Caenorhabditis elegans: one gene and its partners. The protein of the gene in region 1 interacts with the protein of each later gene in a pairwise test. Each region holds a gene or a part of one and is shown in the gene's direction. Other genes may lie near its edges.

The links.
Region 2: the proteins of col-122 (region 1) and dve-1 interact in a two-hybrid assay, tested with the Caenorhabditis elegans proteins (one large-scale study listed by BioGRID).
Region 3: the proteins of col-122 (region 1) and sma-2 interact in a two-hybrid assay, tested with the Caenorhabditis elegans proteins (one large-scale study listed by BioGRID).

Annotation. Positions count from the first base shown.
Region 1 is NC_003282.8:9,559,565-9,567,020, forward strand, and holds col-122 (Nematode cuticle collagen N-terminal domain-containing protein), read left to right. Parts: upstream 1-3,814; 5' UTR 3,815-3,823; coding exon 3,824-3,844; intron 3,845-3,950; coding exon 3,951-4,832; 3' UTR 4,833-4,877; downstream 4,878-7,456. Other genes in the region: T05A1.5 (Major facilitator superfamily (MFS) profile domain-containing protein), read left to right, coding at 1-97; lron-14 (eLRR (extracellular Leucine-Rich Repeat) ONly), read right to left, coding at 1,307-1,406, 1,461-1,622, 1,690-1,982, 2,544-2,639, 2,797-2,970, 3,284-3,358, 3,404-3,514, 4,973-5,080 and 7 more.
Region 2 is NC_003284.9:425,526-437,475, reverse strand, and holds dve-1 (Homeobox protein dve-1), read left to right. Parts: upstream 1-3,676; 5' UTR 3,677-3,682; coding exon 3,683-3,863; intron 3,864-3,975; exon of another isoform or gene 3,976-4,504; coding exon 4,505-4,631; exon of another isoform or gene 4,632-5,325; coding exon 5,326-5,440; intron 5,441-5,492; coding exon 5,493-5,602; intron 5,603-7,970; coding exon 7,971-8,133; intron 8,134-8,183; coding exon 8,184-8,483; intron 8,484-8,788; coding exon 8,789-8,936; intron 8,937-9,476; coding exon 9,477-9,655; intron 9,656-9,705; coding exon 9,706-9,789; 3' UTR 9,790-10,426; downstream 10,427-11,950. Other genes in the region: hrg-11.4 (VWFA domain-containing protein), read left to right, coding at 11,851-11,947.
Region 3 is NC_003281.10:8,746,144-8,758,044, forward strand, and holds sma-2 (Dwarfin sma-2), read left to right. Parts: upstream 1-3,536; 5' UTR 3,537-3,720; intron 3,721-3,769; 5' UTR 3,770-3,820; coding exon 3,821-3,823; intron 3,824-4,464; coding exon 4,465-4,516; intron 4,517-4,630; coding exon 4,631-4,734; intron 4,735-4,919; coding exon 4,920-4,997; intron 4,998-5,605; coding exon 5,606-5,904; intron 5,905-5,951; exon of another isoform or gene 5,952-6,156; coding exon of another isoform or gene 6,157-6,295; intron 6,296-6,344; coding exon of another isoform or gene 6,345-6,491; intron 6,492-6,877; coding exon of another isoform or gene 6,878-7,170; intron 7,171-7,219; coding exon of another isoform or gene 7,220-7,282; intron 7,283-7,327; coding exon of another isoform or gene 7,328-7,400; intron 7,401-7,465; coding exon of another isoform or gene 7,466-7,747; intron 7,748-7,794; coding exon of another isoform or gene 7,795-7,958; intron 7,959-8,004; coding exon of another isoform or gene 8,005-8,087; intron 8,088-8,135; coding exon of another isoform or gene 8,136-8,439; intron 8,440-8,485; coding exon of another isoform or gene 8,486-8,602; exon of another isoform or gene 8,603-8,607; intron 8,608-8,748; coding exon of another isoform or gene 8,749-8,822; intron 8,823-8,896; coding exon 8,897-9,210; intron 9,211-9,260; and 9 more. Other genes in the region: ugtp-1 (UDP-galactose translocator 1), read right to left, coding at 316-618, 858-1,172, 1,580-1,708, 1,754-1,861, 2,140-2,264, 2,469-2,556; Mitochondrial import receptor subunit tomm-70, read right to left, coding at 6,157-6,295, 6,345-6,491, 6,878-7,170, 7,220-7,282, 7,328-7,400, 7,466-7,747, 7,795-7,958, 8,005-8,087 and 2 more; aak-1 (5'-AMP-activated protein kinase catalytic subunit alpha-1), read right to left, coding at 11,093-11,218, 11,276-11,364, 11,840-11,901. UniProt on the Caenorhabditis elegans protein: Involved in TGF-beta pathway. Plays a role in male tail tip morphogenesis.

The DNA of each region.
Region 1 (7,456 bases):
ACTTGTTCTCCAATCAAAACTCATGGTCACTAACACGGCTGTTGAAACATTTTTATGGAAATTTTTTGACAAAATTTTTACCATTTTGAAATATTAATTTTCAGGATAATTGATTTAATGATCTACAGTGCTCTTTCACTCTCAGCAACAGGAGTTGGCTCTAATAACATGCATCTCTCGTATATTTTTTCTGGTCTCGTCGAAATTCCTTCTTATTTTTTGATTCCCGCCGCAATTGACTGGTTAGGAAGAAAACCATCCGTAATGGTTTCTCATTTGATTCTTGCCTTTTCGCTACTCTCCATGTACCTGTTTGATCATGAGGCTGATCCAGAAATATTCTTGATAATTTGGCTCATTGCCAAGTTTGCAGCTGCATCTGCATTTATGCTGTGTTTCGTTTACGGAGCTGAACTTTTCCCAACAAATTGCAGGTACTTTTTCAACAAAAATAAAATGTTATTAAAAATCAAAATACTGTTTCAAACTATCTTTGAAATGTTATCACAAAACTTCAGCAAATTAGATGAACTTTCAGAAGTATATGCCTTGGTACTTGTGCGACAATTTCAAATCTTGGAGCAGTTGTTGCTCCTCATGTCCCTGCAATGGTAATCAAGATATTTCTTCAAATTTTAGAATGACATCTTTATCGTTTTCAGGACATATTCTTCCCCGGACTCCACTACTTGTTTTATGCGCTTTGCTCATTTATTTGTACAATTCTAACGACAATATTACCTGAAACAAAAGAGAATCATAATGTTCCAAGAAGTCAACAACAATCGCTTGCATAATTTCACTGTTTTCAACAACATTTTTGTTTCTTTTCCGGGTATAAACATTTTTCGCTGTTTCAAAAATTATAAAATCTGAATTAAAATAACTTTGAAACTAATTGTAAAAACGAAGTTTACTCATGAGGAAATTGTTTCAAATCATTCACAGTAGGTTAAAACAGTAATTTCAGAGAATTGCAATAATGCTGTTCATTGAAATGTACCCAACATTTGGAAGCCGATTGATAAAATGATAAAACGATTGATAAAATGATGAATGATAAATAATAACATTGGCTATTTGGTCAAAACAAGCCGGGCAATTTTTTATGACACTTTTCGACGCAATTGAGAACTGCCTAACCATGTTTCACAATACAACTATTTCATTTAACTCATTCTTTTTTCAAGAACTACTTTTTGTATGTTTACTTTGAAGAATAAAATGTATTTATCTGCTCGAAAAAACAAATACCAAAAAATAAAATCTATACCCGTTTCAATTCTAAAACTTCTATTATTCTTCTTCAATCTAAATGCTGCAATGGTTCTTCTTCTCTTTGAATTTCCGGTCGAAGTCTTTCTTTTTTCCGACGCTTCATTAAAAGCTCTTCAGGATGCCAAAATCTGAAATCTTTTATTGATTCTATCATTCAAATAGATTTTATTTTGAAAACTTACTTCAAATATACGGTGACTCCTATTGAAATTATCAAGATAATCACACATAAGAAGAGCAAGAAAATGAGAACATTGACAAATTTATGAGGTTCATTGTCATAATTCTTGTATTTCTTGCGATATCGAGGAGTTGTTGTGGGAACGGTTGTCGTTGAGATTACTCTGAAAATTTTTTCAGTTTTTAGAAACTTTTTTTGGCTTCGCTGAATTTTCAAACCAATCAACTCACTTATTACTAATTTTTTCGGTAGATTTGACACCTTCTAGTTCATCCATCGTATCCAAAATACTCTTTTTCAATGTAGTTGTCATCATTGTTTTCTCAGATTTAGTTGTTGATTCAGTTGAAGTATAAACTCTTTCCATTATTCCTTTTTGTGCATTTTCCACAAATGTCATCCATTGTTTAGTTTCTTCAGTTGGATCCAGGCATACACTTTCATTTGTTCCTGGAAGAGCTTCCAACATCCAAACTGTTCCATGACCATTTAAATCACAATATAAATCATCAATATCATCTATCTGAAAAATTTATTTTAAAACCACTCGAAATCAGATTTTGAACAATAAATATTGATTAACATAAAATAATTGAAAAAATTTGATTTGTGGCATTTTTGAAACAGTAAAAACTTTTCTCAGTTTTTTTTCAGAAAGTAAATTAAAATGGTACATAAATCTTCAAATGAAAAGTTTGCTTTTAGTAATCCCATTCTCAGTAAGAAAACAATTAAGATAAAAACTAATGTATAATAATTTTAGTTTATTACTGGCAAAAACCAATTGCCTTCAATAATTCGAAATAATGACGATCAGCTCAAAACTTGAGCATGGCACGTTCACTTTTAACTTTTTCGAAAAAGTAATAAAAATGTCCCTCACCATGAATGTATTATTGACAAAGCTTCAATATTTTTAAATTTAACATTAGGAGAAACAAAATTCAACATTACACATTTGAGTGCATAACAATTTGGCGATCAGGAATAAATTTCAAAATTTACTACTATATTTGTAAAACTTATGAAACAGAAATTAATTTTTAAACTTTTTTGCTCTGAAACTATGTGACTATGTTCTTACTTTTGCTCGATTAATTCTTCTCATCAACCATCTCTGAAAATCCGATGGTGACTCACAATCACAGGCAAATCTGCTGAAATTCCCACCCAATCGAATCTGAATTTCTCTTTTATTATTATCAACCAAACTGAAATGGAAAGTTTCGTTTTGTAACCCAATGATTCCACCAAAAAATGACTGTTTTGTCTTATCATGATGGAACATAGATAAACTGGTTTCTGGTCAAATGTCCTTTCCTTTTGAAGTGACTAACCTTTTTTAAACCATCCAAATGATTTAAGGATGTTGATGAAAGTTGATCCAATGGGTTATCAGATAAGTAGAGATGAGTTAAAGATGGTAATTTTGTAATGGTTTCTGGAATTGAGGTGATGGCAGAAGATGTTATTTCGAGATGGGTCAAATTGGCAAGATCAGTGAGCTTTTCCTGAAATAATTTTTTTGTGGACATTATTTGCGAAATATGGAAATTGATTAGAATTTAACTAAATTAGATGATGCTCTAAATTAGGTGAAATTTTCGGACAACACAATGACAGCAGGATTAAAATTTCAAATATCATACTGCATAAGTAGGCATGTCGAAACAGTAAAAAATTGTTTACATAAATACATCCAATTGCATAAAATAATTGAAAAATACATAGTTCTATATTTGAAAAACCTTAGGAACACAAAACCAGTTAGTTAAGTTTCCCTCAATTTTCAAAATTAACCTCCGGATTCAAAAAATAACTCACCATTTCCACTGAAGTCATTTTGCTATTTGTGATCTTCAAAGCTCGCAAGTTGCTCAGTTCTTTCAATTTCTCGGTCTAAAAGTCTTGATGTCTAATGAATTCTTCCAAAGAAAAAAAAACCTCAAAAATCTTCCAATCAGTCTGATTCATATGTAATTGTGTCAATGGGGATGGAAATTTTCCGAGCTTATCCCATCGAAGTTTGTCGCAAACCATAATGTTTTGAGATGTCTGAAATAATGTTCCGGGTTAACCAAAAAAGTTTCAAATTAGTTCCGTTTCTCTTCTATTGTGCCTTATCATCCAAGAAAAAACCAATTGGAAAGTGTAAAGTTAGCGAAACCGCGCGGGCGTACCTGACAACAAAGATAGATCCATAGTGATAGGATGAGTGATAATGGGAAATGTGGAGACATAGATTTGGTAACACAAAATGAAAAAAAAAATGAAAAAAGGAAACAGTGATCAAGAGAAAATTGTCAGTATAAAAGGAATGGGTTTAACATGGAAAGGCATCATCCAATCTTGATCATCTCAAAAATGGAGGACAACAAAATCAAGGTATTCACAAATTGTTTGGTTTAGTTTAAAGTTCTAAGAGGCTTTAGAATTTAATTTTAAAAACCATTCATGACTCTTATTTTTCGAAAATTATACAATTTTTCAGGCCTACCGTCTCATCGGGTATGCCGCAGTCTCCCTCTCAGCTGTCGGAATTCTTTCCGTTTGCATTACTCTTCCACTCGTTTATTCTTATGTGAGCAACCTCCGCTCTCAAATGCACTCTGAGCTCCGTCACTGCCGTGACACCGTTAACACGGTATATGCTACCGCTGTCGCTATGCCAGCTCTTCCCGGGAGAGGGAACCGTACCGCGCGTCAAGCTGGATACGATGTTGCCGTTCAAGACGCCCCAGCCCAGGAGCACAATAGCTGCGACGGATGCTGCTTGCCAGGAGCCGCTGGATCAGTCGGAGCTGCCGGACGCCCAGGAACTCCAGGACGCCCAGGTGCACCAGGAGCCCCAGGACACCCAGGAAAGCCACCACAGTCACCATGTGAACCATTAACCCCACCACCATGCCCAGCTTGCCCACCAGGGCCACCAGGAGCTCCAGGAGCACCAGGAAAGCCAGGATCCGAGGGACCACCAGGACCACCAGGGCACGATGGACCAAATGGAGGACCAGGACAACCAGGACAACCAGGACCACACGGACCAAACGGACACCCAGGAAAGCCAGGATCCCAAGGACCACCAGGACCACCAGGACACTCCGACGAGCCAAAGCCAGGACAACCAGGACAGCCAGGACGTGCTGGACCACGTGGACCACGTGGAGTTGCTGGAATCAAGGGCAAGGATGGAGCTCCAGGATCCCCAGGACAACCAGGACCACGTGGAGGACCAGGAGAGCCAGGACAAGATGGAGCTCCAGGACAACCAGGACTTCCAGGATCCGATGGAACTCCAGGAGAGAAGGGAATCTGTCCAAAATACTGTGCTATCGATGGAGGAGTCTTCTTCGAGGACGGATCCAGACGCTAGATTTTATTTCGTCTCTCCCATTTTTCATAAAGAGTTTAGCATTCCAATATTGTTTTTTTAGTTCGAAAATACACAAAATGAGTTTTTCAAAAAGCTAGAATTGATGAAATATCTAATTTCCCAGTTTCCAAAAATCATACCCTCACAATAGAGACATCCGCAGATCTCAAGCATTTGCACGTCGGCGGGCATTCGAAACGACATTCACATTCTTTTTTCTGACAACATTCACAATCTGCTTCACACATCTGAAAAAAATTACTGTTTCAAAGTTACTATGTATTTGAAATTTTTTTTAGCCTACCTTGAAACCTTTTTTAATTATCAGTTCAATTTTCTCGATTAATTTTTTGAAGAAAATGTTTGATAGCATAATTAAAGTCTGTTGGGTATATAATTACTGTTGTTTGATATCAGGCTTTTTCTCAGCACGGTTTTATTAAACTATACATCTTAGTCTCTTTTAAATCGAATTATATTGGTAGTACGCCACCAATTGTTTTTTCAATTAAAATGAAACATTTATAAAATAACTTACATTAGAATATTTGCAGAGCAGTTGATTCCTTGAATGAGCTAACGTGAGCAGCATTTTCTTTTCTGGTTTCAATATATTGAGACATTCAATTGTCTGAAGGTCTCCAATTGATATGTTCTAAAAAATATCAAACGTAATACCAAAAAATTAGAAATTGTGTAAAAACTTCAAAAACAAACTTTAGCAGAAGAATCCATTAACCATTTATGATTACAGTGACATAGTAGTGGATTCTCGGATAAAAACAATTTGACTTGAAATTTGGAACCAGCAAAACTTGATGACTTCACTTCCTTTAGGCTGTTGTTTCTGCAAGAATAATGTTCGGAAAATACTTTTTCAATACAAAACCAACTTTAAATCCAGCAAAATCAAATTTGTCAAGTGCTCAAATGCATGATCATGTAAATACGTCAACTTGTTATTCGACAAATCCACGTGTTTCAACTCTGCAGGCAATACATTCACAGCTCCAGTCGTCAAACCACCAACAAATTCCATTCGATTTCCAGCCAAATCAAGGCGTTTCAGATTTCTAGCACTTGCTGGAACATAGTGAATTGTGGAGACGAGGTTATGCCGAATTGATAAGTCGGTCAGGTTTTCAGGAAATCTGAAAATTTATTTTTTAAAACAAATAAATGTTTTTAAAACCTTCTGAAATCGATATTCGTTATCTTATTGTTGTTCATTGTGATAACTTTTAACTTTGTCAGGGATATCAACGTATTTGTCAGAAATCCAATATCATTGTCACTTACATCCAAGTGAATCAAGTTTCTGAAAATTTGAATATTCATTTTTAACTTCATTTTTAAGAATAATTACTGTAATGATCTTAATGAATATGGTTCAATTCTCAATCGATTCCCAGAAAGATCCAATGTCATCAAGTTGGGAACATGGGCGAATATCTCTCGAGGAAAATCGGTAATTTTTGCATTTTTAACGATAAGGGAATAGAGTTGACCAAGACCCTGAACATCAATACAATTACAAATGTTTTCTCTGAAAATTCTAACCGCAAAAAGTCCTTCTGGAACAGTATCAATTAAGCATCTATCTAATTCGAGACGATCTAGATTTCGAAACCCTTGAAATAATGAATGAGGTGGAGTTGATACTTTTGGAGAATGATAAGGGCATTTTATAGTAAGAGTTCGGACGAGATCAGGACGTGCAAGTTGGAGAGTAGTCACATTCAGCTGAAAACGTTATGTAGTTAAACGGAGGAGTAAACGACTTGAATTGTCTTAATAAATTTAAAATGAACCCAAAAGACTGAATTTCATAACAAAACTACTCAAACATTGCTTTTTAAGTCCAGTGTAAAAATTCTTATCGAAACTAAATTAAATTACTTCCCTTGCTGTTCTTTAAAATAACATGTCCATGTTCTCTGTAATGTACTGTTATACCAAACATGCATTGATGCAGTGACTAATTGATAATTGCGATGGCTAGTCACTTTTGCTATTGCCCCCTACACATACATGTCCATTCAATTACCTGTTCCCACTTGCAAATGAGATGTACTTGTTGGTTCTGCTCGTTATCCGCATAGCATTGACATCTTGTCGGACACGGAAATTGGGAAGGTGATGACGTGGCAGTTGGGGCGATTTGAAGAGAAGAAATGAGAAAAAGATGAAGAAGCGGGAGGACGGACATATACCATGAAGAATGAAGATGAAGATCAAACGGGCTTCAGTTGAGCTGAATCATGAAAAATTTTGGAAATATTGTGGAAACGGAAGGAAGTAGGAATAGGTTGAAGCAAGTTATGAACTAATAAACGTAAAACTATTGACTGCAGATTTAATAAATTGAAAGTGAATCTCACATTTGTCTTTCGATAGTCCAGTGAACTTACTATTTTTACAAAAATAATGGTACCGCTATAACATGAACAAATCTGTTGATGTAGAAAATTTTTAAAATCAACATAAGTTTTTTTTTAATTTTGAAACTGTATGTTTTGTTCAAAAGAGTCTGGATCAAACATTTCTGAGCCAAAAAAGGCAAAAAAGAATCGGTCTGAAGATTTCGAAATTTGTCGAGAAAATTGATACTTTTGACAACTTGC
Region 2 (11,950 bases), on another chromosome or scaffold:
CTCCACTTCCTCATATTTCAAAAGTATTGTGCAATTCCAAAATATGTACATAATTCTGCAAGAACTGTTTAAATGTGATAACTGATATTATTTGTCACAAGGTGCTGGCCACAGAAAATCTTTTGTGTCCCCCCAGATGACAAAGCATTAGACAAAAGAGGCCTCCATCACCACCGCCCCCTCCATCCAGAACCAATATTTGATTCTCTCATCTTCTTCCTTCGTATAAACTTTTCAACTTTTTCGGTACAGTCAAAGAGTCATCCAAGCTGGGACATTTTCTTTCGAAACGGCTTTCTTATCACCAAAAGATGCTCCAGAAAATGGTGGAGACGCAGAGTATGCTAGGTAAGATGGAACACAGGCCGGTTCCAATAATTTCTGGGCCACTGGTCATTGACTTACAAGCTTCAGAGATTTTTAAAGTAACAGAGTAACAGCTGGCTTAGTTGATTTTGAAATTTAATACTTTCAAATGAAACAATTTTTTTAGTTGACAGCTTTTCCAGTCAAAATTGGGCCTATATTAAAATTAAAATTTTACAATTAACATTTTTCAGCTACTTTTCTCCTAAAATCCATTGTTTTGTTTTTCCGTTTTTTCCAGCGATTTAATGGTTTTTTTGTTCTCCCCCATTCCTGCTTTCATATCTGTCCATAACAGTGTATATTATTCACCATCCGCTCTGCCTCATACCCTTTTCAGTATGCCTTTTCTCCTACCCTTCCCCCTCTCTCTCTCTCTCTTCCCAACTCTTGTATATGTAGATGTGGTGGTACGGATTATCAGGCTCATGTTGATAACCGATGGTCGACTGACATTGTACAGTGCGCTTTCCTCCGCCCGGCTGGTTTTATTTCTGTTTCACACAACGCGCCTTATTCGACGTGTTATCTCGTGTGGACATGTGTGCTGTGCTCGGTGAGCTGAAGATCACATTGGCCCACACTTTTCTTCCTTATCTCTAACCTTGCTGGCTCTTGAATGATGACTAGAACTGGGTCATTTCGAAACCAACGATAGAATTTTGAAATCTATTTTCCATACAGTCTGGATTTAAAGAAGTTTAAACCCAAAAACATTCAATTTCTAAATCAACATCACTGTTTGTCATCTTTTTTTTTACATACGTCAGCAGTTTTGCCGCAGCCACACGTGTGTTCTGAGAGTAGATTGTAAATTTGAAAGCTACATATAAATTTGTATCAAATTTACGTGGGGATTTTGTCTGAATACACTTATAATAATCTAAAACAACCGAATATCATAATAAAACACTCCAAAAAATTTTATATTTTTAATAATTTCCGGTCAAAGTTTTGGCAAATTGCCAACATTTTTGAATAATTTGAGCTTTTGAAAAAAGTCCAAAGCAATGTCGCATGGATCCACCCCTACGATGTTTTAACACAAACAATTAAAACAAAATAACAGTAAAAAAACGTAGAAAAAATGTTTTTGTTTGGTCGACTTCCAAAATTATGAGTGGCAAAAACAGAGTAATTGCCACTTTTTGATTGTAAATAGAAAAAATTCAAAAAAAATTTTTGAAAGTTTTATTATGATATTCCGTCATTTTGGGACAACCACTCCACCTTTAGGATTTTCTTACTCAATTTTTGAATGTCCTACAGTTTTTGTATGTAAGAATCATATAATAAAACAAATTTGAAGAATCATACTGAAATCAGAATATTTATAATTCCTCTTTCAAAAATACTGAATATCATATAACAAGGGGCAAGCACCCACCATAACCCATCACATTATTCCATTCCCTACCATCTCTTTCTCCATTCGGTCCGGTCCATTGAGTTGGTAAACATATAATGTATATCGTATGATAAGGCCGCTGAATTTCAATTGACTTCCCCCCCCCCCCCCTCCTCTTTAATCTTCTCTTTTGCGTTACCGTACGATACGTAATATATGTAAAACTGAGATTTTTTGCATTGCCCCTTGAAGTCTAGAACTTCTCGACTTTCAAATTTGTAAGAAGGGTCTCATTTACCCTATACTTCTACTTCATGCTTCTTGTATAATCCCATCCGCGGGGTTGGTGTCTTCAAGCAACCGGGATTACTCTTTCCGGCTTATTCGAACCCCCTCTCCTTGCTTCAGTATTGCTCCAGATTGCAATTGTTTCAATTAGCCGCTACGATGACACCTAAACTAAATCCTCTAGGCTTAGGGGCACAAACATTCGTTTGTTAGAACTGATTATGTGGAGATGGAGCAAGATAATACAAGTGTAGAATACAATGATTAATCAATGAGTCTCACAGAGTTTTGCAAAAATTCTGAAAAATTAGATATTTCCAAAACCACGTTTTATACCAATTGTTGATTTTTGACTCATAGTAATTTTAACAATAAACCTTGTTAGATAAATTTCTAGAAACGGATTTGAGTTTTGGTGTGGCGAAGTATCAAAAGTGTACACATTATCTTATCGACAATAATCCCAAACCCACTCGGAGCTCCTAAGTAAATAGTGACTTGCATTCCAACCACTGTCTTATCTATAACTGGCAGACCCCCTCCTCTCCCGAAACGCGCATCCTTAAAATTTCTATAAGTAACTTAACCTTTATCTCTGCTGACACATCGGGACAATTCTAATTCTGATGCGCCCCTTATGCGATGTGTAGCGTCGTTATTTTCGATTTGACGGTGAGGAAAAGAGAAAGGCGGGGTTATAGGGTAGAAGAGTGAAGAGAGAGAGAAAATCTTGAACAAGTGGATTGTCTTTGTTCGATTCTTCTTTTTTCCTCCCTCAACGACGAAGACTAAGACGATGCCATACCACAACGACCCGAGGCTTTTCTCGAACTAGTAGTACATGATCGTTTCTACAGATGGGGGAGGGTTGGCAACCAGCCCCATCTTTCTTTTTTCCACTGTTTTCTACCTCACCTACCTATTTCTCCTCATCTTCCGCATTCTCTGCCTCTTTTAGACTCTTCCATCCGGTTCCTACATTATGCCATCTCGATCCCGACCTCCCCCCCCCTCAACCCCTCCTTACTACTTTCGCTCCATTCGTCGTCTTCAATCTCTTCTTGGCGACGACGTGGTCGCCTTCTTTCAGATTTTCCATATCAAATCTTGTTTTCGTTTTCGTTTCCATCCATTCTCATCTTCAACTTGTCTTCAGTAGCGAGTAAGAAGTAAGAAGAATGAGTACATGTCGCCTGATTCGTTGTTTTTATTTGTGTCTTAAGATTTCTAACCCCCTCTTGGACAGACTGCAAATCTGTTATCCAAACTTGGTGTCTCCCGTTCTTTTTTCATTAATCGCCTTAACAAATCCCACTATCTCCCTTTCTTCCATTTTTGTTGCTCTCCGCTCTATTCCATCGCAATTACGGTTGAATAGGTGCGCGCTTTCTTTTCCACCTTATTTGCTCCAACTAGCCACAACTACCATATCTCTTTTGCTCTTGCTCTCTCTCTCTCTCTTACTCGCTCTTTTTCTATCTATCTTCCCCGCATCATAGAAAGCCCCGCCTCCTCCATATCTATGAAAAGTGGGCGGGAAGTCCGCACACCAATCGGAGCGCAGAGCTAAATCTATCCAACTATCTTCTGGCTCTTCTTTCGATTCTTCTGCTATTAGTTTATCTCGATTTCTCATTTTTATTTTAAAAATTTCAAATATAAAGTTTCATTCAGCTAGATATGTTCCCAATGAGGGTAATCGTGGAAACAGTTCGCTCTCAACATTGCTTGACATGCTCAAACGAAGGACACATGATCACAGACACTTATGCAATTGTCGCAGGGACCACTACATTAAATCAACTCGTCGAAACTGTACTAGCAGCTCTTGGACATTCGAGCATGTCGACAAGTGCTCGAGGTTAGTTGAGAAAACATTTTGAAAATTGCCATAGACCTCGTGACTAGCTAAACTATTTTGGTATTAGTAGTACACATTCCTTATCTTCTTTTCTTTCATTTTTGTTCCTTTTTTTCATTCGCCAAAAACGGATAACAGATCTATCTTGTGATTGACAGATTTACCCTACTCTAGGCGAGTAAGTAATTGAGTATTGAGTGGGATCTCCTTTTCTTGACAACTACTTTCAGTTTCAATTCAATCTCATTGAAGCATAACGTGGTTGCGCAACTTCGCTATGCTGTAAGAAGATATACATCTTCCTCCTACCCCGAGATCACCCACTTTTTTTTGGCTAAGACGACCCTACCCACTCATGTGTTTTGTTCTGCGCCTCTTGCCAGATCAACGGTATTTCTGCGATTTCAGCGCCCTCCTCCCATTTTCTCACTTTCACGTTTTCTTCCACCTTAGTAGAAAGTGAAACAGACTGTCGAACCTGTTCTTTTCTCGGCGGCTTTGCCTCCTTGGTATCTACTTTCCCAAAGATTATGCAATCATGTGAAAGGGAAATCGGAAAGAAAACGAAGGGAATTGCATAGGGTTTTTTAAAAAAATATTTTGCATTTGTTGTCCGAAAATCGATAATTCAGAAATTTCAGGCCTCATACAAGTAAACAACTGGAAACCCTTGCCATTCGATCAAATTACTGAAAATTTAGATGACACTGTGGAAAACCTCTTCAAAGATATATCATCACATGTAGTGCTAAAAATATTGTCAAAACCGTAAGTGTTTCCTGAAGTATTCTTGTTTCACTCCGCACTATAACCTCATCTATCCCATCCAATCCCGCTCCAACCAGACGACTGTCGATCGGGAGGTTTGTGTGCTCCGGGGGGCTCATTCTGTAAAGGTGAGCAAAATCGCGCCTCACAACCCCTATACATCCTCTTTAGAACTACTCAAAGAAAATGGCAAACATAGGTATGTACAATGCGCGCCTCGCACACACACACATATATATAAACACATTCAGACATGTGTACAGGAGAGAAAAAGTGATGGAAGGAAAAAAGGGGGAAAACTCATTGAAATTGGCGGTGGCTGAAAAAAGATACATTTTGGGGCGCATTTCTAGTCATCAAAAGTCAAAGGAGCGGGAGGGTCCGGGGACCAACAAAATTATTTACCTAGATCCCCGTATGACTTATCCTATCTGTTTGCGGATTATTGTCGCTTCCTTCATTTCTTTATATCGTTCATATTCTATTGATATTTGGCATTTAGTTTGCTATCAAACATGGCACTCACAAATACCGCAAAAGCTTTAGCGCTTTGTCCTGCGACGCAATTTTTATGAGACCAATGAAAGCACAAACCATTCACGGACCGAATTCGATTTTTATAGCCCTATCCCTGGGCACACATATGCCTATACACACACACAATTTTATGACCATCATCATGATTTTCTTTCAGATCTACGGATTCAAATTCTGTGCAATGTATAAGTGAGGTGAAGAATAAACTCCTGAAAGCTGCAGTAAACAAAAATCCCAATGTTTTAACAAATGTGGATAATCAGCAGGTTAAGGTGGGTAGCTGCTATTTTCTCAATAATTCAATTTCAATTCTGATAATTGCAGGATGTCATCAACACAATCATTGCCGGAGATGAAACACTCTTGAATTCCGAACAAATTGGTGCAGTCAACGAATGGCTTGATACGCTGGAAACGAACGAGGATCGTAGAAGGTAAGATAGCGCCGCCCATGCAATGAGTTGCGAGCCAGTCAGCCAACCAGCCACCGTAATCCCGCTGTGCGTGTTGGATGTGAATAGAGGGGGGGGGGGGGCAGAGTTTGAGAGAAAAGACAGAGAGCAGTGACACGGGGGGTAGCGCCAAGTTAAGCCGCTATTCGGTGCTCGAGTTAAGCCCCCTCTCGGCTTGTTTGTAGAAATAGACTTTATGGATTGGTTAGGAATTTTGAGCTGCAGGCAGGATTGTGTATACATTGTGGTTGAAGGAAAAGTTATGAGAGAGCACCCATTTTGTTTATAAATTTTTGGGGAAATTTAGGAGATGGAATTTTGCTGTCTCTAGATATCAGGTAAAACCGATTCCTATCGGATATCATATAAACAATATACTTTTCCACGTCTGTGCATTCTTATTCACATCTGAAAAGAGAGGACTTAACTTAAATAGTTAGTTTCGTTTAATTTCCACCGCAAGGATTCATTGGAGCTCCCCCCCCCCCCCCGTCAGAATTTCAATTTCCTGAGGTTGTCTTCATCAAAAACCCGCCTTTTGTTTTCAAGTGTCGTAACAATCAGAATGGATAGGCGTCGGGGATTAACAAGCCGGCAGATTGTATCATTTGCTCTTTCTTTGGTGCCCATCATCACCATTCATCTTATTAGTGACAGCCCCCACACACAATGTGCGAAAACGATGATTGTTTGGGATTGGAAAAGAGTAGGGGATGGGTTCAATGGGAAGGGGAAGGCAAAGTGATGAAGATATACGTGAATGAAGTTAGAAACACTAGTTTATACCGAAGTATCTAAGAATTGCTTTGAAGACAAGTTTAATCTATAAAAAATTGTTTGAAACTGTAAAATCGTTATATAAAATTGATTTTTTTTACTTTATTACCCATTTGCGTAGCAGAAAACGTTTTTTTTTTTTTTTTTTTTTTTTTTTTTTTTTCTAAGCCTAAAAATAAAAAACTACACACGGTTTTATTTTAAAATGTTAAAATTTATTTTTTCAAAATGAGGTGAAATAATCCACAAGTACCAAAAATTTTCCTTGTTCTTAGTGCTAAAATAATAAAACACCGTACGCCTTCTATTATTTGCCAACTTAAAATGGTTGAGTTCAAAAATTTTTGAAAATCTAAAATTTTTAGGAGACGATTCACCAAATATGTGGCTTGTCAGAATTTAACAATTACCAAAACTCAAGTTTTATTTCGTAACTCAACTATAAATTCCACTAAGCCGGTTGACAGTACGGTTGATGCCCGGATAAGAGAGCAGTATTAGACTGAGATGAAGATAGCTAATTTCAAAAAAAAAACGAGACAAAAGACAAAACGATCAAATTCGGTCGTTCTCTAAGTGCCCTCCATCATGCCATTGTGTCTTTCTCAATTTCTCAAGAGAAGGAGGCTAAGAGATCAGGACTGGTTTTGGCCCCTTGTTGACCCGTGAAAACATCTCTGAAACTGCCACTGCCTGCTGATCTACATTCCCGAGACAACAAAGGGAAGAAGTCAAATTATAAGTGATGGAGACAGTTGTTTTCCACATATTCCTTTATTGAAACTCCTTCTTCCAACGAGAAGAAAAAAGGAAAAAGAAAAAGCTGAAATCAAGTTTTCCAGTCATCGAAGCACATCCAAATTTTCGAATTTCCAACTGTACAAATAATTGAGTTGTGTTGTGAGTAATCTTATTGTGACATACAGACACAAGAGAGGATACAAAACATGTACATATTGCTCTGAGGGAATGGGAACAGCAGAATAAAGGGCAAAATGGGAAAGGACGGCGGTGACGCATTCTGTAAAGAGTAATAAAGAATAGAAAAAGGGAGATTGAATGCGTTGTGTGCATACAGTGATATATCCAAACTGTTACCCGGGGGGGGGGGGGGGGCGCAAAAACAAGAAGAAGGGGACCCAGTATAACTATCAGAATGGAGTCGTGATTGGAGAAAAAGTGTCAGTAAAAAATGATTAAAAACTATCCTTACAAAAAACTTGTATACGAGTAATTACACCGTATTTCCTCTATTTGTATTGTACCACATTGTTCAACTTTAACTGTTTATATCTCAGTTATCGTTTGTGCTATTCGAAGTTGTTAACTAACAAAATATTTTTTCAGTTATTTTTCTATAGATTCGTAGTTAAAAATATATGTATATCTTTAAAGTGTATTTATACTCTTTAAAATGAATTAAGATATAACGTTTCAAAGTTAGGTAGTCGGGTGCAATACAAATAGAAGAAATACGCTACATGATTTTCTTTTCATTCCACTCTCAAGAAAGATAAACGCCTGCTTTCATATTACTTTCAGTACACATAATAATGTATGTATTTAATTTCAGCCCAACACAAGTACAAAGATTCAACACTCTTTACGAAATTCCACGTCTTGATAAATGGTTCAAATCCGATGCAAATCCATCTAAACAAAAAATGAACAATTACTTAAGCCAGCTCAATCAGAGTCCGTTCAGAAAGAACAATTCCAAGATCAGCTATCAACAGGTGAATTTAATGCGCCTACATATTACTCCATTAATCAAATGAATTTCCAGATTTGCAATTGGTTCACACAAAAACGCTCGAGTTCCCGTACCTTAGCTCCAGTAGACCTAGTGCAGGTCTCGTCAGCTCAGACAGCGGCGCAGCTGCTCCCGGGATTCCAACTCAACTTGCTCCAGTCCCTGTTTGGAGAACAACGTCAAAAATTTGATTTTTACGACAAACTGGATGAAACCAAGATTGTCGGCGGCTCCGACTCGCCATCTCCAGCCGATGATGAGATTCATAGCAATTCAGATGAAACTATTCAAGATACTTTGTTTTCCATCAATATTAAACCAGAACCGGAAATTGTAAGTTACGTTTGACTGTTTGTGCCATAGTTAGGTTGATTAGCGTTGCTCGTGCTGAAAAGCTTTGAAAAATCACGCTAAAAACGGATTTTCGGCTATTTCGATTCTGATTCACATTAAAGATAACATCTCCCAAATTGCTAAATATTACCGATAAGGTTATAAAGACCTAACACTACGGCCGAAAATCTGAATTTATTCCAAACTGTCAGCGTCGGCTGAGCGCCAATTAAAAATATTTTTCGACACAATTATGGTCCACCTTTAAAAATTATTCATCCCAAAACAAGCAACATTTCCTACAGGATTCAATTGCATCCTCCCCGGATATGGCAAACTCAATGCGCGAATCATTGTCCTCGACCTCCCCAAAGCTTCTCAGCGGGCTCGACCTCGGAGCATTCAGCACCCACTCATCATCCACCAACTCCATGCAAAACGCCAACTCATCAGGTACAACAAAGAGCTTTAAAACAGACAGGCTAACGGAAAAGAGAGGGAGATGGGTTGAACCAAGAACTCATAAATTAGAAGCGAGCACACACACACAAACACACATAGACATACACAAAGTGCGCGAAGACACATAACAAAGGGAGAAATGTGGGGCGTCGAATTTCGCACAGACAACCATTACGATCACTGAGATCTGAGGAAAAAAAAATGAGGCTAGGTATTGTGTTTACAGAAATAAAACAGAAAATCAACTGCAAACTTGATTTTGAGAAATATTCTAGGGATTTTGTACTGGCTCAAACTTATCGAGAAGGTGGCCATGTTCATGATACTCAGTCTGAAAACCTATATTGGTTGCTATCTCTAAAACGCTCTTAGATTGCGTTTGCTATGCATATGAAAAATGACTGCATAAAAATTCTCTATCTTTTCGACAAGAAAACTTTAAGGTGGAATTTTACTTCTATTTTTCGATAAAATCACTGACGCGGAACGTTTGAAAAAATTCAACGATAAAGCAAATAATCTCCGTTTTAGTGTTTTCAGCGGCTCGCTCACGCCTGATGTTCGACCCACTCACCGAGCTACCCGTCCTCGAAAAATGGTTCGAAGAGAATCCTCACCCGACATGGATGCAAATCGATCAGTACACACAATGCTTGAACAACTGCGCTTATCGAGAGAATTATCCGCATATTAGTCAGCACAATGTGAAGGTAATATTCTATATTAATACTGATTACTAGTTATCGAATTCGAATTGCAGATCTGGTTCAAAAATCGACGTGCAAAATGCAAGCGATTGTTGAATGGAATGCAGGAAAAGCTTGAGCAGAAGGTTTTCGTATAAAATTAAAATTTCCAACTTTTTTCAAAATCTTATTATCTTTAATTTCGAAAGAACATTAAGTTTTTCACATCAATAGTTCCTTCTTTAACCGTCATACTGGTGTACCCCTTGAATTCCTGATCTTCAGTGCCCCACAATTTCTCTTCAACGAAGAGCAAAATCACTACTTCATTTTTCATTCCAGCTGTGATTTTTGTCTGTAAGCTACACCTAATCGCTAGCTGTATATCTCGACGCATCTTTCGTTCTGCAAAACTTCTAGTCGCTTCTTGTCTTGTTTAACCTTGATGGGAAATTAAGCCGGCTTTAATTTCCTTCTTTCTTTCAATCAACAATTTCCCATCGCTTTCTTTGTCTCTTTCAATGTTCCACAGATCACATAGTTTTAATGGTTTTTCAATGTTTCCCTTCTTACCGTCACACTACTTTCCAATATTATTCATCTTAATTTTATGTCTACCACTTCCAATATCAATCTTGCCCACCGTTTTCTCAATTTTTTTTGTCAAATTTAAACTTTTCTCTGCTTTTCAGTTGTGCTTCAGCCCTTTATATGCCAAAAACTTTTATTCAGAATTTTGACATACAACCACGTTTATTTCTTTTTATTTGAATGTTTTGAGAAATAAAGTTTTTTTTTTCAGAAAAAAAATTTTACAAAAAATGGTCAATTTTTTATTTAAAAAATTGGCACACAAAAATAAAAACAGACATGATTGTAGGAGAAAATTTTCAGACTTTTCAAGAAATTATAACTTTTAAAAAGCTATTTTTGGAGAAAAAAGCTCCCTATTTTAACAATAAAGTTTTGAGCCATTTCACGCGTGCACCAAAAAAAATGTCTGAGAAAAATGTCAGGGGTACGAGTTGAGTTTTCCTTTTCAAATTTTTTGTAAAAAAATATTCAGAACACTATCTAGAGCGACAAAAAACTTGGTTGGTGAAAACTCGTTCTAAAATCTGGCACTGAAGTTACTTCCTTCCGCTAACAACTTGTCAGGTGCAATCTAAGTTTCGACTAAAAAAAACAATTATTATTTCAAAGCTGGATAATTTATTCGAATTTTCGAAATATTGCAGAACTGAAAAGAAAAGAAGTTTTCCATAAACTTGGATTGTCAGTCAAATCTTGCAAGGACGTACACGTTGTAGGTTTGCCTTGGAAGAGGTCGTCCACTTCAACATGCAGTCCAGTTATACTCACTAGGAAAGTAATTTAACTCACTTTCAGACTTTCAAATTGAATTTATAAGAACTTAAAGCGGGTTTTCATCAAAAAATAACAATGGAATATAAAGAAGTCGATTTGATATTCTCCGAGCACGTTTTCACTGCTTTTGTAACGTTTGCAACTATTACAAATGAGGAAGTTTGCAATTTTGTAATGCTTTTAATAAAGTCTAAAAATAGGCAAAACAATTTAATAAATTTTTTTTTTTAAATATTTCAGAATTTTTGTTCAGCCTAAAACGTCTTAACAATTGCCTCAAAATCTTTTTAAAGCAGTTTTATTTATACTTTTGCGGAAACTTTGCAATAATCCTATAAATAGCATAAATAAACATTTTTTAAAGTGAAAACAAAGTTTCATTGGTGGTTTAAAAAATTTATAAAGCTTTATAGAACGTTGCCAGTGTAATACAACTGTTAAAACATAACTCACTTGAATAAATCACATGAAAAATTGTTTGATTAATAAAAAAACTTGTAAGTAACAAAAAACCTGCAAGTTCTCGACTGTAAAAACAACAGCTGGAAGCAAAGTGGAACGCTTAACCATTTTTATTTCTGTTTCCCACTGTCTTTTCCAGAAGTTCCTGAAATGTAAACATTTTAAACTGAATTTTCACAACACATCAACCTCTGCTCTATTCGAATTCTAGATGAGAACAACTTGCCAATGGAAGAGTATAATCGCATTATCAGTGACAACTAATTTAAGAGCCTCAATTGGATAAACTAACTTTTTCAAACAAAAAAAACCTGATAACAATTTTATTTAGTTTTATTTAATTATTACATTAAGAAATATCTTCTAAATAAAGACGATTTTTCAGTAAAATGCTCAAATTTGTAATTACAAGTATTCTACTACTGCGGGTCTGTAGTGGAGTAAGTATTCCCAATAAAAGTCAACACGGCGAACTAACGAAAAGCTGTA
Region 3 (11,901 bases), on another chromosome or scaffold:
GGAGCCCTTGCTTCTGCTCCAGAGCGTTCGCACAATTGGTCAGGAATTCTGTGGATTGGAACAAATTAGGAAAAAATATGAATGCTTTTTATTTGCCATCGAGAATCGAGGAAGTTTATAACATAAAACCACGATCCAAAAAAACACAAAAAATGCAATAGAATAAAACCCCAAAAATACAAAGAAATCCAAGCATTAAGTTTATACAATTAAAGCTTTTGGCTAATACACAGAAAAATCAAGTAACCCGGAAGAATGTGTAATCAAAAAATGATGGTTTTTCTAAAACTGAAAAAAAGAAGCAAATTGTGAATCCTACTCGTTAACAGAGTTATACAAAAGAACAGCAAGAACAACACAAATGGTTCCAAGTACAAAATACATTCCAATGAAAATATCTGGAAATATGAGCATCGAAAGAACAACAACTAGAATGATAGAGACTGCTGAAGCCATTGATTTGTACAGATTATCAAGATATCGCATCACAAGAGAAATGTAGAGGCCTCCAACGCCAAGAAGAATCACAACTGCCCATACTTTGTCCGTGTAACCGAAGAAAAATCCCTTATCGGAGATCCGCGAAAAATCCGTGAGACAAGCGATTGAAGCACTGATCTGGAAAAAATTGGAAATTTTCGAAATTCGACTTTCTGAGATTAATTGAGCTTAGATTTTATTAATAAGTCTAAATTGGTTTTTAGTAATATTCAATTATTTCGAATCTCTATTTTTCAAACGATTTGAAAAAAAAACCCTAAATAGTTTCTGATTTTTTTTTAACTTTCAGAAGTTTGATTTATTCAATTGGATGGTAAGTAAATAAACTAGGAAATTTTGAAATTTCAGTAACTTACCACTCCACAACTGTACATTTGCATATTACGAATCCAAAATGGTGTACTTCCACCATCTTTCAACATCTTCTCAAAATAGACTCCAGCAAATCCAGCAGTTACACACGTTGCCAGTACAGCTGATAATCCGACAATATAATTTTCAGCAGTTTCTCGTTTTGTATTGGCTTCTGATGCAGAAACATTGTTCATTTGAACAAATGCTACTCCAAACATTAGAAGTGTAATTGCCATCCATCGACGAGTTGAGAACTTTCGACCGAGAAAGAGCATCATGAAAAAAGCTGTAGAGACGACTTTCAATTGAGTTGTGACCTGCAATTTTTTTCTTGAAAAAGTAGGGTTTTTTTGGATTTTTGAAAATAATAATTTTTGTTTTGTTTTGGAGAAAAAAAAAAGAATTTTTTTTTTGGCTTTTAAAGGGTTTTTTGTGAAAAATTAAAACAAAACATTTCTGCATCGTTTTTTTCTGAAAAAAAGAGTTGGGTTTTTTTTTTGGGAAAAATTGATTTTTTAATGGTTTTTAATGGATTTTTTTGAAAAAGAAAAAACATATTATTTTGAAAAACTCGATTTTTTTCCTGGAAAAACTTTTAATTTTTTGGTTATTTTTTGAAAATTTTTTTTGTTTGGTTTTAATGAAAAATTGATTCTTTTTGTTATTTTCATAGGAAAAAAGGTTTTTTGATTATATATTTTTTAATATTTCTATGACAATTTACCTGATAAAGTCCCGCATCCAAATTCGACAATCCCACAAAATCCAAATTATTCTGAAGAGCATACGCAAACGATGGGACACTCATTTTGGCAAGTTCTCGTGGAGCATTTATGTAATATTTACTGACTTGCTGTAAATTATAATTTTAAGATTTCAAAGAATACGGTAGATCTACCTCGGAAAATTGTCTGCTATCAAAGTTACATTCTTTGTAGAACATTGCAAATGTGATCACTAATTTCAAAATTTCGGCACATAAGACTACTGATGTTGAAGAATACATCTGAAATAAAAATGCATACTTTCGAAAAATTGAAATATTTGTATCAATTCTGTGTGTTTTTTTGGTGCTTTGGGATCAAAAAAAAAAAAATTTTTCTTAAAACCGTTTTCACACTTTGGATTTTTTTCAGAAAAGTTAAACATGATTTTTTATATTTCGCTATGAATTATCAATTGTATTTTATTGTCAAACTTTTTGAATTTTGAATTTTGAAAAAAAAAAATTTCTGAAAATTCAATAATCAAAGTCTTCCAAAACTATATTTCAAAATATATTACCATATCTGGATTTACAGTACTCCTTGTGTATTTGATTGTTAATGTGTAAGCTGTCCAAATGAATGTCATACTGGCAATAACATAGCATTTGAAGACAAAACTTGGACGAGATGATGACGGGGATTCTGAAATACTTGGCATTTTGATACAGAGTTTTGAGAAGGAATTATATAAATTTTTAAAATAACATACGAAAACTTAAAAAATGTCGAGAGTAAATTTTCCGATAATTTGTTTTTCGATTTTTTTTTTCAATTTTTACGGAAAGTTTTTTTTTTGAAGAAATACCAAAACTTTTTGAAAACTGTATAATATTAGAAACTTCCTACCATCCGCTTTCTCCACATCCTTATCGTTTGGCAGTAGCTTCTCCTTGTCCTCATCTTGATGTGATATATGTACATTTTGGAATTTCATTCCTGAAAGTTGTATATTTCATAAAAAATAATCAGTAAATATTGAAAAATGCTTTCAGAAAAAAAAAGATAAGAAAATGTGCTATTGGGGTATGATGTCTGATAAAAAGGGTGTATGTTTGTCTAGATCATTCTTCTCTTTTTTATTGTAAAAACGCCACGTTCATGCATAAAATTGAGAGGAAGTATCATTATTCACAAACGCGATGATAAAACCCATGAAATCATTTTTTGATACTTTTTAAAAGACTGAAAAATAGATAGATATTCTCTAGAAATGAAATATTTGAAAATGCATTGAGAACAAAAAAATATAACATTTTCCGATGCTTCCAAGCAACGCTTATGTTCCTTAGCAACATGAATTAACAAAGAAGGAAATTTCAAGGACAAGACACTACTTGACCTTCTGTCAAAGAATCTACTTATGAAAATTCGTTAAAATTGAAATTATATAGAAAATGTAAATATTGAATGAGTGCATAGAGCAGACTAGAAATTTCTATATCTTTTGAGATTCTCGGAATCTTTTCTTTTCAGAAAATTATGCTTTCTGATAAAATTCGGTAATTTGTAAACCATGAAAATCAAAATTTTAGGGCGTGAAATATTTTCTGCTGCAAGAATTTTTCTCTTAATTTAAGCACAAAAGCAACACAATTTCAAAAAAGTGTGTTTTCTGGTGTTCCTTGATCTAGTGAGACCGGTTTTTGCAAAGCCTACCTTCACAACAACCATAGACTATTTTATCCGATGACACCTGGTCCCTTCTCAAACAAAAGTGATGAATATTCCCCAATACCGTTTTCCTTTCAAACATGAATAAATGAATTCCATTAATTCCCTGCTTGGCTCCAGACTGTCGCCCTTCTGCGTCTCTAAGTCTTCCTATTTCAAACACTGTCTCATTTTATATATTCTGAGTCTCTCTACTATACTATGATGTCTAGTTGGCTACTAATGACGATAACGGGGGCGCAGGGACACAAGTTGACTGTCGCCGGGTGGAAACACATCTGTGAAGATGATTGCACAATTTGGAGAGACGGAGAGTTGAAAACAATGAGTAGACAGTTAGACGGTTGATGATGGGCTGGTGAAGCTGAGAACAATTTATGAGATACCAGGCACTTTAGAGAGGCTACAGAGGTAGAAAGAAAAAAAGGTAAAGGAGTGCGCATTTACAGGCTATTTTCAATGTTTCTTATTTATAGAATCTTCTTGTGATCTATTAGTTTTTACAATATTTCAAGAAGATTAGAATCATGGTAAGTTTTTATTTGTATTTAAGAATAAACATTCAAAAAAAATTCGAAATTTTGTAATTCAAATTTTTTAAAGAAAAAAAAAAATAGAATTCAAATTGTTGAACTCAATGAGTCTTTAAAATTTTGAAAAAAATACGAAAATCATTTTTAAAAATTTCAAAAAATGTAGCTACATTTTTTATGTTTTCCTATAAAGAATTTGTTTAAAAATTTCCCAAAATATTGTTGTGAAATAAGAAACTGAAATATCTTCTCGATATTGTCTAACCACTACCAGTTTGTAAAAATTATTATTACTTCCTCAAAACCAGGGCCTTGAGTCCTGGAACGTGTGTAATTTTTCAGCTACAGTACCCCGTGAACACCATAGACTTTGAAATTCTCAGCTTTCAAAGTTTGAACCTTCCGTTTTACATATTTTAATATTTGACGTAGTTTAAACATTTTTCCAAAATATGTGATTTCTACAATAAAATTCTTGAAAAAATCGAGACAAGAGAGACAAATAGTAATAGAGAGTACGGTAGCTGAAAAATTTCATTCGTATCAGAACCCAATTCCCAAGAATTCTTATTTTTCGAAAATAGATAAAATTGTATAACCATTTTTTATTTCACAACAAAAAACCACGAACCTTTCAGATAAACTTCGACGGAATAAAAAAGATCACGGAGAGACTGAAATGGAAACAAGGTAAGTCTCATTTTTGTCCAAAAGACCAATAGGGTGGGGAAATATTACAATCAACGGCGGAAATCTAGAATCGAAACTGAAATCGGATTTCTGACGGAAATAAGTATTTTACAGGAGACGAGGATGAGAATTGGGCAAAAAAGGCGATCGACAACTTGATGAAGAAGCTGATAAAGCATAACAAGCAGGCGTTGGAAAATTTGGAATTCGCGTTGAGGGTTCATGTGTTTTGTGTCTTTTGAATCTTTCAATTTGATCTTAAGATTTCTTTTTTATGAATAGAAATGAAATAATCTAGCAATAGACTACACATACTTTAAACTCGTTAAAAATCAATAAAAACTACATATATCCGATATTTCAATCGTAGAATAACCTCAAATCAATAACTATATCATTTCAGTGCCAAGGACAACAAAAAACCGAATGCGTGACAATTCCGCGGTCACTAGATGGACGACTTCAAATTTCGCATCGAAAGGTGATTTTAGTATAGAATAAGAGAATAATGGGGAGAAGAAGTAAACAAATTCAAAATGAAGGGGTGCCCTATTTGTTTATGAACATCAACTAGAAACAGAGACAGACTTACTTATTCGATTAATCGACCGACTAGATTTTGAAAAATGATATTAAATTTTTAAATTGTAAAATTGTGTCAACTAGTCGTTTGAACAATTTCAAAAATTGATTTGATCTTTTTTGATTTTATGGGCAAAAGTCCACGTGTCAGTCCCATTTGCATTTTTAATTTATAAATTTGCATAATTTCTACAGTACATCCTAACGATATTAGAAAAAACATAGATTTTTCTGCTAATTTTTTGATATTTTCACAAAAATTACACCAGCCAAAACTTAACCTAGATTATGAAAAATCATATTAAATTTATGAAATTTAAAAGTTTAAAAAATTTATAAACGTTAGCTGATCTTTTGTTCGATTTTCAATTTTTTTTGAAATGAAGCTTCTTCGTGAAATGCTTGTTTGAACAGCTGGAGATTATCATTTTTCACAGAAAATTCAAATAATCCACTCTGAGAAAAAATGTTAGGAACAATTCCAAATCCTATGTACTAAAAATTCAGGCACTTCCTCATGTGATATATTGCCGTGTCTATCGTTGGCCAGATCTTCAATCACATCATGAATTGAAAGCAATTGAAGATTGCCGATTCTGCTACGAATCAGGGCAAAAGGATATTTGCATTAATCCATATCATTACAAAAGAGTTCATGCAACTGGAGTACTTCCACCAGTTCTTGTACCTCGTTATTCCGAGAAACCACCACAAGAAGTGCCCCCAACTCTGGCGAAATTTCAGTTGATGGAGATGAGCGGATCAAGAATGCCGCAGAATGTCAATATGGCAAACGTTAATTTTACGTAAGTGTTTAAAAAATATATGGTATTACTGATTGAAGAAAAATTGAAATATCTGGTATTTATGAGATTATCGGGAACAAAAAAACAAAAAAGCGAAGAATAAAATAAGAAAACGAACACAGTAGGTAAGGAACGGAACTGGAAAACGGATGGGTTGATTTTGAGAAACCCGAAAACTTAAAAAAAAAACGGGGAAATGAGGGGAAAAACAGGTAACAAAGCAGCCTATCAACTATTCAAAAATTCTTTAAATTAATACATATCGAGCATTTCAGCTGCACGTTTCTTAGCATTCATCAATGGAATCATTCTCTTCAACATGAGAAGTTCTCGTGGTGGGGCAAATAGAGCTGCATTTCGAATTGATTCCATTGCTCGCTCGTAATTTTCTCTGAAAGGACTTGGATTTTTTAGTGGAACTCTGAAACTTTTTTACTTACTTCTTGATCATCGGCTCTGGCCCGTTAGTTCCCAAAAGATGAAGAACGTGAGCCGAGAAATTGAATGGATCAACTGCAATTGCTGCGTTGGCACTTTCAGTTGTCAATCTGAGTCGTTCAGCTTCTGGTTTGTGCACGTGGAGATCACTGGAAAATTAATTGTATTTAACGTAGAACTTAGAAGCCGATGGGAATTTCAATTTAAAATTCGCAGGCTGGTCCCTAATGACGTGATTGAACAAAAAATTCGCACTTTTTGATTTTTCAACTTTCCGATAGCTTAAATTTTTGCCATTTTCCTTCCTTTTAAAAGAAAATTATACTTCTTCTTTTTTCAACAACAGAAACAAAATTTATTTCAAAAATCGAATTTTATGAGTATATTCTTCGATTCTTTTTTTTTTTTTTTTGAAAAAAATCGAAAAGTCAAAAAAAATTTTTAATTTTCGATTTTTTGTTTTATTTTTTTTTTCATAAAATCTCGGCAACTGGTACCAGTCGGCGAATTTCAGAAAATTAAAATCTAAACTTACGCAGTCTGCAAATGCCTACTTGGCACCAAATATCTCGTAGTAATCCTTGCAGCCTCTTCGAGCAACTTCTTCGAGCTCTCCTCATTATTAGTCATCATATATACTTTGGACATAAGAACCAGATTGAAATGAGTAGATCTACTCTCTGCGAGTTCTTCCATTTCTCGGATTCGTCGATGAACATCAGCGTAGTCTTCGCTGGTACACAACTTCAGGAATGTAACAATCATGGAAAGATGTGGAGTGAGAGTTCCGTTCTTTTCAGCTTCTGTGAGAAGTCTATTGGCATTGTTCTGGAAAATTAAATAATTATAAATAAGAAAATTATGAATTTAAATTTACTGTATCCGCCATCATTTGTTGCTCATGATTCGTCACTGCTGTATCGAGAACACATCCATTATACTGAAACCATATTTTTAGAGAATAAAAATGATTTAATCGAATTACCACAAAAATAGATGCAAACGAATAAAGTTTGAAAAGTCTTTCCTTATCGTCTTTTGGAACTGATTCCAGGAATCTGAAAATTAGAAAAAATTAGACAAGACCTGGAAATATTTTGGAAAATCAAGAAAAAAAACTAACTTATCCAAATCTGCCATAGTATACATTAGCTCAATCTTGAGAATATCGAAAGCATCTCTCATTAGTTTTTTGCGTTCCTCATCCTCTTCTGATCCAATCAGTTCGTTAATTTTTGCTCCAACTTTATCGATATATCTCGTTGCCTCGTTAGGATCAGTACTGTAGCTTAGCATTTTTCCACGCAAGATCATTGCCGGAGGATAGCTGTTTTCCTCAGTAAGCAGATCAATCAGTTCTTCGTATTTTCCTTTTTTGAACTTTTCCAGTGCAAGTTGGTATTGTCTGAAATTTATAATTATTTTTACTGTATATCTAGAATTAGAGCTTACTTCTGGTCTTCACTGAGCACTTCTGGTTCGAATCTGGTGAGATCTGTTTTGAAAAGATCAAGAATATCCCAAGTATCACACCACTGCTGAATTCTGAACAAAGCTACTGGCTGTGGCTTAACATCTTCGATTTTGAGTGGTTTTCCAATGTGACAGTCGGACATCTAGAATAAAAAGTTGAGTTTCTTTAAGAAATTGTTAGGCTCTTACGGGTTCTATAGCAAGAAGCTTTCCAAAGAATTCGAAATTCGTCTTATTCAGGCTAGAATCCAAAGTGAACGCGGCAAGAAGATCTAAAAACAGGAATTGATACTTTTCTCGTAACATCTTCAGAAACTCACACGCCAGAGCATCCTGTTTCTTTCCGACGTCATTAAGTGCTTTTGCTGCTCTCAAGTATGCTTTGGTGTATTTTTTGTCTACTTTCAATGCAGCCATACAGTCGTTGAGGATATCAAAAGGGCTGTGTCCAACCTTTTCACGACAGGCTGCACGATTTTGGTAGAGCATTGCGACAATTTGATCAGAAGAGTTTGGTCCGGCCTTTTCGACTCCTTTTGTGAATGCTTCTAGTGCGGAATCGTATTGTTTCTCTTTAAACTTCAAATTTCCCAATGCTTTTATTTCCTCCAAGTCCCTTTCCAGCTGAAATTAGTTTTGAAATTGATATCATTGTACACTAGAAACTCACGTCTGAACCTCCAAAACTCTTATATACCAAGTATCCTACACCTGCAACTGTCGCTGCAGCTGCCACACCGATCAGCACTTTTTTCGTTTGGTCGCTGATTCCAGTCGTTTCGACCATTATATCTACAAAATAATAAATAGATAAATGATATAAGTTAAGATTAAGTTAGAAAAATTGAGAATTCAAAGAGAATGAAGAAAAATTGGTAAAATGATGTAAAATTTCAGTGATAAGAAAAGTAGGCAATATTTACGATAAACAGCATGCGGTGGAATTCCGGAGTATCGTCGCAAGTTGTAAATAAAATTGGATCCAAAATAACTTTGAGAGGGAAAAGGTTACGAAAAGAAAAAAAGGTTGAAATATTATCAATATATTTTCTAATTAGGGATTTAATAAATAATTTTCTAGAGCCAACCAATTTCATCAATACAATCCAAATGGAATTGAGGAAATGGATACTTCTCAGAAATTCGACATTCCACCAGGAGTTCCAACATGTCTCGTGCCATTCGATAAAGTTTGGGAAGAACAATTCTGGGCAACTGTTAGCTATTATGAATTGAATACAAGAGTCGGAGAACAGGTTAAAGTGTCTTCAACAACTATAACTATCGATGGATTCACTGATCCATGCATCAATGGAAGCAAAATTAGCCTGGGACTGTTTTCGAATGTAAATCGAAATGCAACTATTGAAAATACAAGAAGACATATTGGAAACGGTAAGAGCACCCACGGCCTCGCCACGAACGAATTACTTTCAAATCAAGGCCGAGCAAAACACGCGTGCGCCTTCAAGAAGTACAGTAACCTGATTTTCGGGAGATTGGGTACCGTACTTCGGCGCATAATTTTTGCAAGACTATGACTAAAAAATTGAAAATTTTCAAACTTTTTGTAATTCCAGGTGTCAAGCTAACCTACGTACGTAGCAATGGCTCACTCTTTGCTCAATGTGAAAGTGATTCAGCTATATTCGTACAATCTAGTAATTGTAATTATATCAATGGATTTCACTCAACAACTGTTGTTAAAATTGCAAATAAGTGTTCACTGAAGATTTTCGATATGGAGATTTTTAGACAGGTAAGCTAATTCACGTAATTGCAATGTTTGAGTCAAGAAAAGGTCTCGTCACGCACAAAATAACTTAAAATTGCAGTCTCACAGCAATATGTGTACCTTTAAGCAGTACGGTAGCCTATTCTTATACTTTTTGAAAAAAACTGGGTTACTGTACTTTTTAAAGGTACACACATTAAAACTGGCGAAGCCATGTTCTTGGGCAAAAAATAGTAACTGAAACTATTAGGTCTCCAAATAAGTTCCGGGTCAAAAATCATAACTTTGTTCACTGCGTATCGATTTTTATGAAACTGTGGGAATTTATGTTATCAACCATGATCTTTCATTTGACAATAGTCACAAAATTTTTTTGCCGTCCGAAGTGCCCTAACTCGGAGCCAAATTTTTCAGGCATTTTTCAGATCTCGCTTCTTTTACGTTTTGATTTGAGGTTCGTGTGCGGATTTAGCTTTGTTTAGTACACAATGTAAGAAAACAAGAAAAGTTTGGAAAAAATCCGTTAAAAAAAAAATTTTTTTTGTCGGTCGTCAAAAAATGTTCAAAAAAATTTTTGTCCAAAATTCTTGATTTTTCATACAAAAATGATGTAACCATGTGCAAAATAAATAGTTTGCACATGGTTACATCATATTTGTATAAAAAATCAAGAATTTTCGACAAAAACTTTTTTGAGCATTTTTTGACGACCGACAAAAAAATTTTTTTTTGGACGGATTTTTTTCTAAACTTTTCTTGTTTTCTTACATTGTGTACTAAACAAAGCTAAATCCGCACACAAACCTCAAATCAAAGCGTAAAAGAAGCGAGATCTGAAAAATGCCTGAAAACATTGGCTCCGAGTTAGGGCACTTCGGACGGCCAAAAAATTTTGTGACTATTGTCAAATGAAAGATCATGGTTGATAACATAAATTCCCACAGTTTCATAAAAATCGATACGCAGTGAACAAAGTTATGATTTTTGACCCGGAACTTATTTGGAGACCTAATAAGAAAAACTAAATTTTTCAGCTTCTCGAGGACTGCAGTCGCCGTGGATTCGACGCCTCATTTGATCTACAAAAAATGACATTTATTCGTATGTCATTTGTCAAAGGTTGGGGAGCTGAATATCAACGACAAGATGTCACTTCAACACCTTGTTGGATTGAAATTCATCTTCATGCTCCATTGGCTGTAAGTTCTGAAATTCTTGTTTTCTTTAGAAATAATACAATTTTCAGTGGCTCGACCGAGTTTTGTCTACAATGGGTCCAACTCCACGGCCAATTTCTTCAATTTCTTGAATCATTTTTATTATTTTTCAAATAACACTACCTTGTTGAATTGGAATCAGAAATAGAATAATAAAACAAAAAAAAAACAAACAAAGACGTCCAATTTAAGTACATGCTTTGAAGAGAAAAAAGGCATCTGAGGGGAATGAAGGGGGGCAAAAGTGAAACCGGGAGAAGATGAATTTTGAAAAAGAAACGAAAAATACATATCATTATACAGATAGAAACATAAAATTATGTTCTTATTCAGCTAACAAAGCCTGCATGATGATGTGGCAAGTTGCAAAGAATTCCATCGTCTGAGAACGAATTGGAGCTTCGGGTTCCGAAGATTGAGTTGAAACTTCATCAAGACTTTCCATTGAGTTCTGAAATTTTAATGCTTATAAAAAAGAACCAAGAACGAATATTTTTCTATAACAAACCTCAATATCAGCCATGTAGATACTGCTGTTCAACGATGATTTCAGCGAGGCGTCCGCGTCATCAACGCGAACTTTTGGAATGTTGACAGCTGAATTAATATTAAAATTGAGTAATGAAAATGAACCACTTAAAAAAATGATTGAAATTGTTTCGTTTTAATGAAATGAGCTTGAAGGTAGCGTCAGTGATGTCAAAATTTTTAATTTTTTGAACGAACTGTTTTTTTTTCAAATTTTTTACTGATCGAAACTGAGAAAATATCTAGATAAAACACTCTAAACTAAAATTTTCCTGGTCCTGCAGAAAAAAAAATTCGAATTTTAAATAATTTTTAAATCATTTCTTAATTTTTCTATTTTTTTTTAATTTAAAAAATTCGAAAATATCTTTCTCCAACTACAAATCAATGGTTTCGTGTTTTCGATTTTTTTTTTGAAAATTCGTTTTTTTTTTACTCTTTGGGGGTTTTTGTGAAAAATTTGCTACTCCTTCTTTGAAAAAACAAATTTTTTTTTTTGAAAATTCATTTTAAAATAATTTTCTTTCATCAAAATTAAACTTACACGGAGAAATTGGAGACATTGGAGATAGTGGAGACATTGGAACTTTCGAGCTATTTCCATTT